Linked DNA regions of Arabidopsis thaliana. The protein of the gene in region 1 interacts with the protein of each later gene in a pairwise test. Each region holds a gene or a part of one and is shown on either strand. Other genes may lie near its edges.

Region 1 (5,972 bases):
TAGAATTTTTTGAGATGAATGCCATACAAACTGCCACCAATAATTTCAGTCTATCAAACAAACTCGGTCCTGGTGGATTTGGTTCTGTTTACAAGGCGAGAAACGTTTTATCCTCTTTGCTCTTTTTCTTTTCTGTCATTTCTTGACATGACATTTGCAACTTGTTTCAGGGAAAACTGCAAGATGGAAGAGAAATTGCGGTAAAACGTCTTTCTAGCAGCTCTGGGCAGGGCAAACAGGAGTTCATGAATGAAATAGTACTGATATCAAAACTCCAACACAGAAACTTAGTCCGGGTTTTGGGATGCTGCGTCGAAGGAACAGAGAAGCTATTGATTTATGGGTTCTTGAAAAACAAAAGCCTGGATACTTTTGTCTTTGGTGGGTCACTTCTTACCCCTTTCGTGTAGTTTTCCCCTTTATATCTGGAATTTCTTATCTGATAGCTTGTATACTTAGATGCAAGAAAAAAGCTCGAACTTGATTGGCCAAAGAGATTTGAGATCATTGAAGGTATTGCACGTGGACTTCTCTATCTCCACCGTGACTCACGCCTCAGAGTAATTCACCGAGACCTGAAGGTCAGCAACATTCTTCTGGATGAGAAAATGAACCCGAAAATATCAGATTTTGGTTTGGCTCGGATGTTTCAGGGAACCCAATATCAGGAAAAAACTCGCAGGGTTGTCGGAACTCTGTAAGAACCATCCCTTGATAACATATTAAACTAGATTGGTAGTCATATATTAAATTGGGTGAAACTATTTGATCTTTGAACAGAGGATATATGTCTCCTGAGTATGCATGGACTGGCGTATTCTCTGAGAAATCCGATATCTACAGTTTCGGAGTTCTGTTGTTAGAAATCATCAGCGGAAAGAAGATCTCAAGTTTCAGCTATGGCGAGGAGGGAAAAGCACTTCTTGCATATGTTAGTAAGACTTTATGTTTTCATGCATTTGCAGAGGTTGCAAAAGGTTTGTTGCTTTGATATTCTTAAGAGTGGAAACTGAAAAACAGGCATGGGAATGTTGGTGTGAAACCCGAGAAGTTAATTTTTTGGACCAAGCTCTTGCTGATTCTAGTCACCCATCTGAAGTTGGAAGGTGTGTACAGATTGGTTTGCTCTGTGTTCAACACGAGCCTGCAGACAGACCAAACACACTTGAGTTGCTGTCTATGCTTACCACAACATCAGATCTTCCTCTGCCCAAAAAACCCACATTTGTAGTGCACACTAGAAAAGACGAATCACCGTCAAATGATTCGATGATCACTGTCAATGAGATGACAGAGTCTGTGATCCAAGGACGTTGAAACTGTAGAATTGGAATTATTCTCTATAAGGATCAAAATTTCTAATGGTTGTAAAATTACATCCCTTCCTTTATTATTCAGAAACTTTTTATCTATGTGGAAACTGTTTGGTAAAATTGACTAAGGTATATTTTATTAGGCATGATTACATGATTCCACTTCCCACTAAATTGACAAAATACTTTGCTCAAAAACAAATCGTTGACTCTACTTCATTTTAAGACTTCCCGGGAGATTATTCTCGGGCCTAGTGGCACACCAATGTTGACTGTTGAATTCTTCGGTTCTTTTGGACAGAAACAGTTAAGCCCATATGGTTGGAGTTGGGAATCAGTCGATTAGGGTCATTACGGGTCTAACGACATTAGCGAGGCTCGGAGGTTTTTTTTATGCACTGCAAGTGTTCGAGGAAATGTCTAAACGAGATAAAACATAGCCTGCATTTCAAGAAAGTTATTGTGTTGTAATGGTGAAGCAAGGATTGGATTCTTTCGATTGATGCAGAACTAATAAGGACTTGAACAATGACAACGTTGCGTATCTGATTGGGTAAGGACTTCTTCGTGCCAATCTATCATGTATGCATTGTTTCTATTATTGATGCAGAGCTAATAAGGACTTGGAATTGTCTCCCACTCATTCACGTTGTTATTTGTTTAGTGAGCAGTTACTTTCTGAACACCTTTTTTGTGTATTTAAGTAAATGATTGTCTTTGAATGGAATAGAAGAAAATTTGCAGTAACTTATTCTAAAGTCTTTGATAACCAAAGTCTTCTTCTTTTTGTTCTTGATAGCATTGAACAATGACAACGTTGCGTATCTGATTGGGTAAGGACTTATTCGTGCTTTGACACTTTTGTTCTCTATTATCAAATAACGCATGATTTTTGGAACATTAGTAAAGATTATTAAATAACGCATGATTTTTGTTCTGTATTATTCTCACAAGTCAGTCCCTGAGTTGACAAAACAAAAAATGTGCAAAGAGAGTTTTTTTTTTTTTTTTTCTTGCTTTCTCGCTTTATGTAAAGCTAATCTAAAAAAGATAGTTTTTGGAGAGAAATAACAAATATGGGGAAGAAGTGGATCGTGTTCTTTGCTTATTTGCTCTTATCTAGCTTCTTTATAAGTTCTAGCTCTGCAGGGATAACGAAAGAAAGTCCTTTGCCAATAGGACAAACTCTCAGCTCCTCTAATGGTTTTTATGAACTGGGGTTCTTCAATTTTAATAACTCCCAGAATCAGTATGTCGGAATCTGGTTCAAGGGTATTATTCCCCGGGTGGTTGTGTGGGTGGCCAATAGAGAAAAGCCTGTTACAGATTCCACGGCAAATCTCGCTATCAGCAACAATGGAAGTCTTCTGTTATTTAATGGCAAACATGGCGTTGCATGGTCCAGTGGAGAAGCTCTTGTTTCTAACGGGTCTCGTGCAGAGCTTTCAGACACCGGAAATCTTATTGTCATAGACAATTTTTCGGGAAGAACTCTATGGCAAAGCTTTGACCATCTTGGTGATACTATGCTTCCTTCCTCAACCCTGAAGTATAACCTCGCCACTGGCGAGAAGCAGGTGTTGAGTTCTTGGAAAAGTTACACTGATCCATCGGTTGGCGACTTTGTGCTTCAGATTACGCCACAAGTGCCAACGCAGGTGCTTGTTACGAAAGGATCAACGCCTTATTATAGAAGCGGTCCATGGGCTAAAACAAGGTTCACGGGGATACCGCTAATGGATGACACATTTACAGGTCCAGTCAGCGTTCAGCAGGATACAAATGGGTCAGGATCTCTCACTTATTTAAACAGAAACGATAGACTTCAACGTACAATGCTAACATCAAAGGGCACACAGGAGTTGTCTTGGCATAATGGGACGGACTGGGTATTGAACTTTGTGGCTCCAGAACACTCATGTGATTACTACGGTGTATGTGGACCTTTTGGGTTATGTGTGAAGTCTGTTCCTCCAAAATGTACGTGTTTCAAAGGGTTTGTTCCTAAACTCATTGAGGAGTGGAAAAGAGGAAACTGGACTGGTGGTTGTGTGAGGCGTACCGAACTATATTGTCAAGGAAACTCTACTGGCAAATATGCAAACGTGTTCCATCCTGTTGCCAGGATAAAGCCTCCAGACTTTTACGAATTTGCAAGTTTTGTGAATGTTGAAGAATGCCAGAAAAGTTGCCTCCACAATTGTTCTTGCTTGGCCTTTGCTTATATCGATGGAATTGGGTGCTTAATGTGGAACCAAGACCTAATGGACGCAGTGCAATTTTCTGAAGGAGGAGAACTTCTCTCCATTCGTCTGGCACGTTCTGAACTAGGTATGGCGCTCAAATGATTACACGGAAGAATTACTTCGTTTACAACTTTATCTACAACTCCATTGATACTCTTCTTACCGGAAGCAGCATGGCTTATTGTTTAATTTGTTTTTGTCTTATATGTCACAGGTGGAAATAAGCGCAAGAAGGCCATTACTGCTAGTATTGTGAGCCTTTCTCTTGTTGTGATAATTGCGTTTGTTGCGTTTTGTTTCTGGAGATATAGAGTGAAACATAATGGTAAAAACTGATGATCTTACTCCCTCTCTATTGATTTCTTTTCTTTATTTACAGTACTCATTTTCTTGCTATTGGTAAGACACTGATGACCTATATTATCTATAATTGAAACACTAGTTTCAGCTGATATAACAACGGATGCTTCACAAGTTTCATGGAGGAATGATCTGAAACCACAAGATGTCCCAGGTTTAGATTTCTTTGATATGCATACCATTCAAACTGCCACCAATAATTTCAGTATATCAAACAAACTCGGACAAGGTGGATTTGGCCCTGTTTATAAGGTTAGAGAATTTTTAACCTCTTTGCTCTTTTCTATTCTTTGCTTATGCTCTCCAGATGACCTTATGCAATGTGTTTCAGGGTAAGCTGCAAGATGGGAAAGAAATTGCTGTAAAACGGCTTTCTAGCAGCTCGGGCCAGGGCAAAGAGGAGTTCATGAATGAAATAGTACTCATCTCAAAACTACAACATAAAAACTTAGTTCGGATTTTGGGATGTTGCATTGAAGGAGAAGAGAAGCTATTGATTTATGAGTTCATGTTGAACAATAGCCTTGATACCTTTCTCTTCGGTGGGTTCCTTCTTGCTTCATTCCTTTACTATCAGCAACTTTTTCTCTACATGGAACTGTCTTATCTGATTGTTCATACTCTATATTGTCGCTTAGATTCAAGAAAAAGGCTTGAGATTGACTGGCCAAAGAGATTGGATATCATTCAAGGTATTGCGCGTGGAATTCACTATCTCCATCGTGACTCACACCTCAAGGTTATTCACCGAGATCTGAAGGTTAGCAATATTCTTCTTGACGAGAAGATGAATCCAAAGATATCAGATTTTGGATTGGCTCGGATGTATCAGGGAACCGAATATCAGGACAATACTCGCAGGGTTGTAGGAACTCTGTAAGACTCTATTTTCCATAACATTGTTAACAAGATTCATAGTCATAAACTCATAATCGTTTATTAAACATTGGGTGAAACTATTCGATGTTCGCACAGAGGATATATGGCTCCTGAGTATGCATGGACTGGGATGTTTTCTGAAAAGTCCGACATCTATAGCTTTGGAGTTCTAATGTTAGAAATCATAAGCGGGGAGAAGATCTCAAGATTCAGCTATGGCAAAGAAGAAAAAACCCTTATTGCATATGTAAGTACAACTTTTAGGTATTCATACAGTTGCAAATGTCTCAAAACGTTTCTTGCTTTTATATTCTTAAGACCTGAATCTGAACAACAGGCGTGGGAATCTTGGTGTGATACTGGAGGAATTGATCTCTTGGACAAAGATGTCGCCGATTCATGTCGCCCACTGGAAGTTGAGAGATGTGTTCAGATCGGTCTGCTCTGTGTTCAACACCAACCTGCAGATAGACCCAACACACTTGAGTTGCTGTCTATGCTCACCACAACATCAGATCTTCCACCACCAGAACAACCGACATTTGTAGTGCACAGGAGAGATGACAAATCATCGTCTGAGGATTTGATCACTGTGAATGAGATGACAAAGTCTGTGATCTTAGGGCGTTAAGAAATGATGTTTGATCTTAGGGCGTTGATAACAAACTTCACCTTTTATTCTTTTTGTAACATATTTTTTGTATACATGAACCTCCATTCTGGTGCACCAATGATCCATGGTGTTGAAGATAATGTGACCAGAAACACTAATCAGATAATAGATTCATCATTTCATCTTCCATGTAAGCCAAAATAGAGTTCTTCACATCTAAGTTCTTCTCCTCCAACATCCGAACTTCGTTGTCGAGAAACTCTCTTTCCAACAATAAATTCCTGAATTCACTGTCTTCAATCTCCCTTTGAAACCCAAAACACATCTTCACAAAACCTTCCCTGTGTAAAAAAATTCCATAAGCAATGCTTTATCAATCAGAGGATCAAGAACACAAATGCTTGTTTACAACACAATCGATGTTTACCGCTTCTCGGTTAGTCTTGTAATTAGCTCACTATGCTCATTTCTCAAACGACAAATCTCATCCTCCAATAGCTTCAGAGAGTTTCTTGAATCAGCTTTAAGAAAATAAAACATAGTGATAGAGATTTAACAACA
Region 2 (3,455 bases), 2.3 Mb from region 1:
CTTTTTTTACTTGGGATGAATTAAACTCGAGATCGTTTGAATTTTCTCGAAATTTTATATTTCAATTCTATTGTAATTTTCGAAAGTTTTACCATTGAAAAAATAGTATAGATGTGATTCACACTACCAAACCATTCATGCTGAAGTTGATTCCATGCTATGGGCAATAGAATTTATAATCTCGATAGGTGTTACGAGTTGCTCTTTTGCTTTCGACCGTGAAGATCTTATCTCTATTGAAAAACTTTCAGTGTAGCCAACATTTGTAGTTGAGATGACGACATTTGGTTCCCTTGTATGTTTTTTTCCCTCTTCTAGTATTAATTTTCTTTCTCGTCGTTTTAATGTGCGGATCGATTGCCTTGGAAAAAGACATGAGATCGCAATAGGTTTTTTTCCCATGTAAGCACGTCGGTTCCTGAATGACTCTCTCTCTCTCTAGAAGAGAGTCTCGTTCCGACTACTTCATAGAAATTATGTTAAGCGGAAAAGAACCATTCATTTGCAATATTTTGAAATTTCAAAAATCTCTCGTAATTTAAAAAATAAAAATCAATCTTTTATTGAGAATAAAACCATTAATCCAAAATATGAATCAAATGCATAAGAAAATGATGAATTGAGTAATTAACACCAATAAAAAGTAAAAGCGCCTAGATCTAAGAACATCTCAGAGTTTGGCCTTAAAACTGCAATCACTAGCTTTGATGTTGATATTATTGTTCGTTGATAAACTATCAACAACAAGCTTACAACTCCCCAATATCCGAATCTTCTTCATCTTCAGATTTCCGAGTTTGATGGCGACAGGTGCATTCACTTTAAGATCTAACGGTACACGTCCTGTTTGTTGTTGCTGCTGCAATGCCGCCAAGACAGTGTTCCCATATTGCGCTCTTCCCGTTAGAGCCACATTTAGTTTAGTTACATTGCGATGTCCTTGATAAAACCTCGGTATAGGGCCTTCACATAGCTTTGTCTTGTCGTACCACACACCGATATGACCTCCTTTCTCGTAATAAATCCCAATCTTTTCGTTGGGATTACGAGCTGTGATCTCGACTTTAAACTCCGCGGAAAGAGAGAGGTCTAGATTGATTCCAAGGTTGGTAACTCGTAAACTGTTGACTTCGTAACTCGGGAGTTTAGGGTGGAAAACAAAGTATACAACCGCAACCGCAATTGCTAACGCGATCAATGCAATGACTAGAAGGCTTAACACCCAACAAAAGATTTTGCAGCACATATTTCGATTCTTACTAGGAATAACAGGAGGCGGAATCGGCCGTTGAACCGGAAGCAAGACTGTCTTTCCGGGAGCTGGTGTTGTTGTCTTCGTCTTGTTGGCTTCCATTTGAAGAACCGGGTGAATTTTTTGTTGATCTCCCATGGATCTACAACTTTGTATTTAGTAATACTAATGCACCAACATGTATTATATGTACTTTATTTTATATCAAAGTTTTGTCTTGTGAAGTTGTTTCCATGCATGACTTTTACCAACATCTTACCTTCCTCACCTATAACGTTGAATTAATCAGAATATATTAGAAAGACTAGAGGTTGTTCAACAGTTACAGTAATCTTTTTGTATTTAATTCGATAATAAAACAAAAACAATAAATCATTCGGTATATTGGTTTAGTTAGGATGACGACTTTGGCAACATTCCAATGTTTTCAACACATATCTTCTTTTTGTTCATCTCTATGTTCAGCAACAACCCGTATAATCAAATTCTTGAGGAAGAATTTGAAAACTACAATTTTTATGATACATTTCATAACTATCACTAATTTTTTTTTTCAAAAACACCACAAAAGGATTTATAATTTCTTTAAATACATTTTATAGAAAATATTTATAAAGTTATATAAGGTTTTATAAATTGATTCTTGAATGATTTTTTTGTAAGCAATCTCAAAAGAAGAAAGATTCAAACTTATTAAGATAGAAACTAAGAACTTAGATAGATTATTAAAACTTTATGATGCAAGGGTACTGATAGAGAAAATATTACTTCGTTGTCACCAAGAACACTATGATTCGAAATTGATACTCTTATTAAGATGAAGGAAGAGAGTTGTTTTGAGAGGACAACTCTCAAACAAAGTTACCTTCCATGGATGTTCTAACCATAAATTTATATGCTTTTGCTAGCTAAAACTCTAGTTCCATGGGCTAATAGACTTCTCAAAACACTCTATCTTAGGATTCTTTTGCATCCTTTTAAAAAAAAAGTCTTTAGTAGTTTATTTTGAGAAATGGAATCGTAAAAGTGATAGATGTCAAAGTTTCCCAATTAATATATAGTCATCACTCATCTACTCTGGAAATTTATGTTAGTCACATATCATCTGATCTATAAAGAGATTACTAAATATGTGGTGGTGCACTCTACGAACTAAATCAAGAGCTTCGTAGTTTTTAAGTAAAACTGAAAATCAGTTGCTAAACGATTTCGTAATTTTACCATATGATATAGTTAAGGATTCGATGGTTTATTTTTTTCCAAATAATAGGCCCATTTAAAAAATCTGTGCCAAAGCAAAACTTTATTACAAGCCCAACCAAAACACATATACAAACATATTAGGGTACCGAATAGGTCAATGAGACATTAAACTTGTGGAGAAAGCTGAAAACTTGGAGGAAGAATGGCGACAGTAACCGATCTACCGGATGATTTGGTAAGAGAAATATTTTCTAGGGTTCCATTGACATCTCTAAGAGCAGTGAGATCTACTTGTAAAAAGTGGAACGCTATATCGAAATATGACATCTTAGGTAAAAAAGCAGCAGCAAAGAATCAGTTCTTGGAGTTCATGGTTACAGATTCTAGGGTTTGTTCTTTGAGATTAGATCTTCAAGGAATCCGTAGCGAAGAAGATTTGATTGATCTATCTATAAAGCAAATAAGTATACCTAATAAAGTTGATCAAGTCGAGATATCTCAAGTCTATCACTGTGATGGCTTATTGTTATGCATCGCCAAAGACAACTCGAGTGTTATGGTATGGAATCCGTATTTAGGGCAGACGAAATTGATTCAACCAAGAAAAAAACTCCACAGATATGACAAGTTTGCTCTTGGATACGACAACAACCGTAACCACAAAATTTTGAGGTTTCTTTATGAGGGGAGTCCAAGAAACGTCATTATTGATGTTTACGATTTTAGCTCTGATTCATGGAGGGTTCTTGATATTGATATAGATTGGCATGAACTGTTTAGTCACAATAGCGTGTCTTTGAAGGGAAATACTTACTTTTTTGGTCGAAAGGGACCACGTTTGCCTATGCTGTTTAAACCTCCATCTCGTCGTTTTGAATATTTGACTCTATCTTGTGTTAGAAATGAGAAACTCGCTGTGTTATACAGCCACCTCAACAGATTTGGCACAATAGAGATTTGTATTTCGACTAAGATTGATCCCAGTGCAGTATCATGGACC

Evidence for each region. Proteins that work in one complex are often made in the same cells at the same time.
Region 2: the proteins of AT1G61420 (region 1) and AT1G54540 interact in a protein complementation assay, tested with the Arabidopsis thaliana proteins (one large-scale study listed by BioGRID).

The regions. Positions count from the first base shown.
Region 1 is NC_003070.9:22,660,014-22,665,985, reverse strand, and holds AT1G61420 (S-locus lectin protein kinase family protein), read left to right. Parts: upstream 1-1,811; 5' UTR 1,812-2,389; coding exon 2,390-3,644; intron 3,645-3,773; coding exon 3,774-3,884; intron 3,885-4,001; coding exon 4,002-4,171; intron 4,172-4,250; coding exon 4,251-4,461; intron 4,462-4,557; coding exon 4,558-4,795; intron 4,796-4,894; coding exon 4,895-5,045; exon of another isoform or gene 5,046-5,135; coding exon 5,136-5,429; downstream 5,430-5,972. Other genes in the region: AT1G61430 (S-locus lectin protein kinase family protein), read left to right, coding at 1-104, 171-381, 460-697, 781-931, 1,021-1,317; AT1G61415 (CAP-gly domain linker), read right to left, coding at 5,566-5,752, 5,839-5,932.
Region 2 is NC_003070.9:20,367,032-20,370,486, forward strand, and holds AT1G54540 (Late embryogenesis abundant (LEA) hydroxyproline-rich glycoprotein family), read right to left. Parts: upstream 1,481-3,455; 5' UTR 1,391-1,480; coding exon 671-1,390; 3' UTR 522-670; downstream 1-521. Other genes in the region: AT1G54550 (F-box and associated interaction domains-containing protein), read left to right, coding at 2,658-3,455.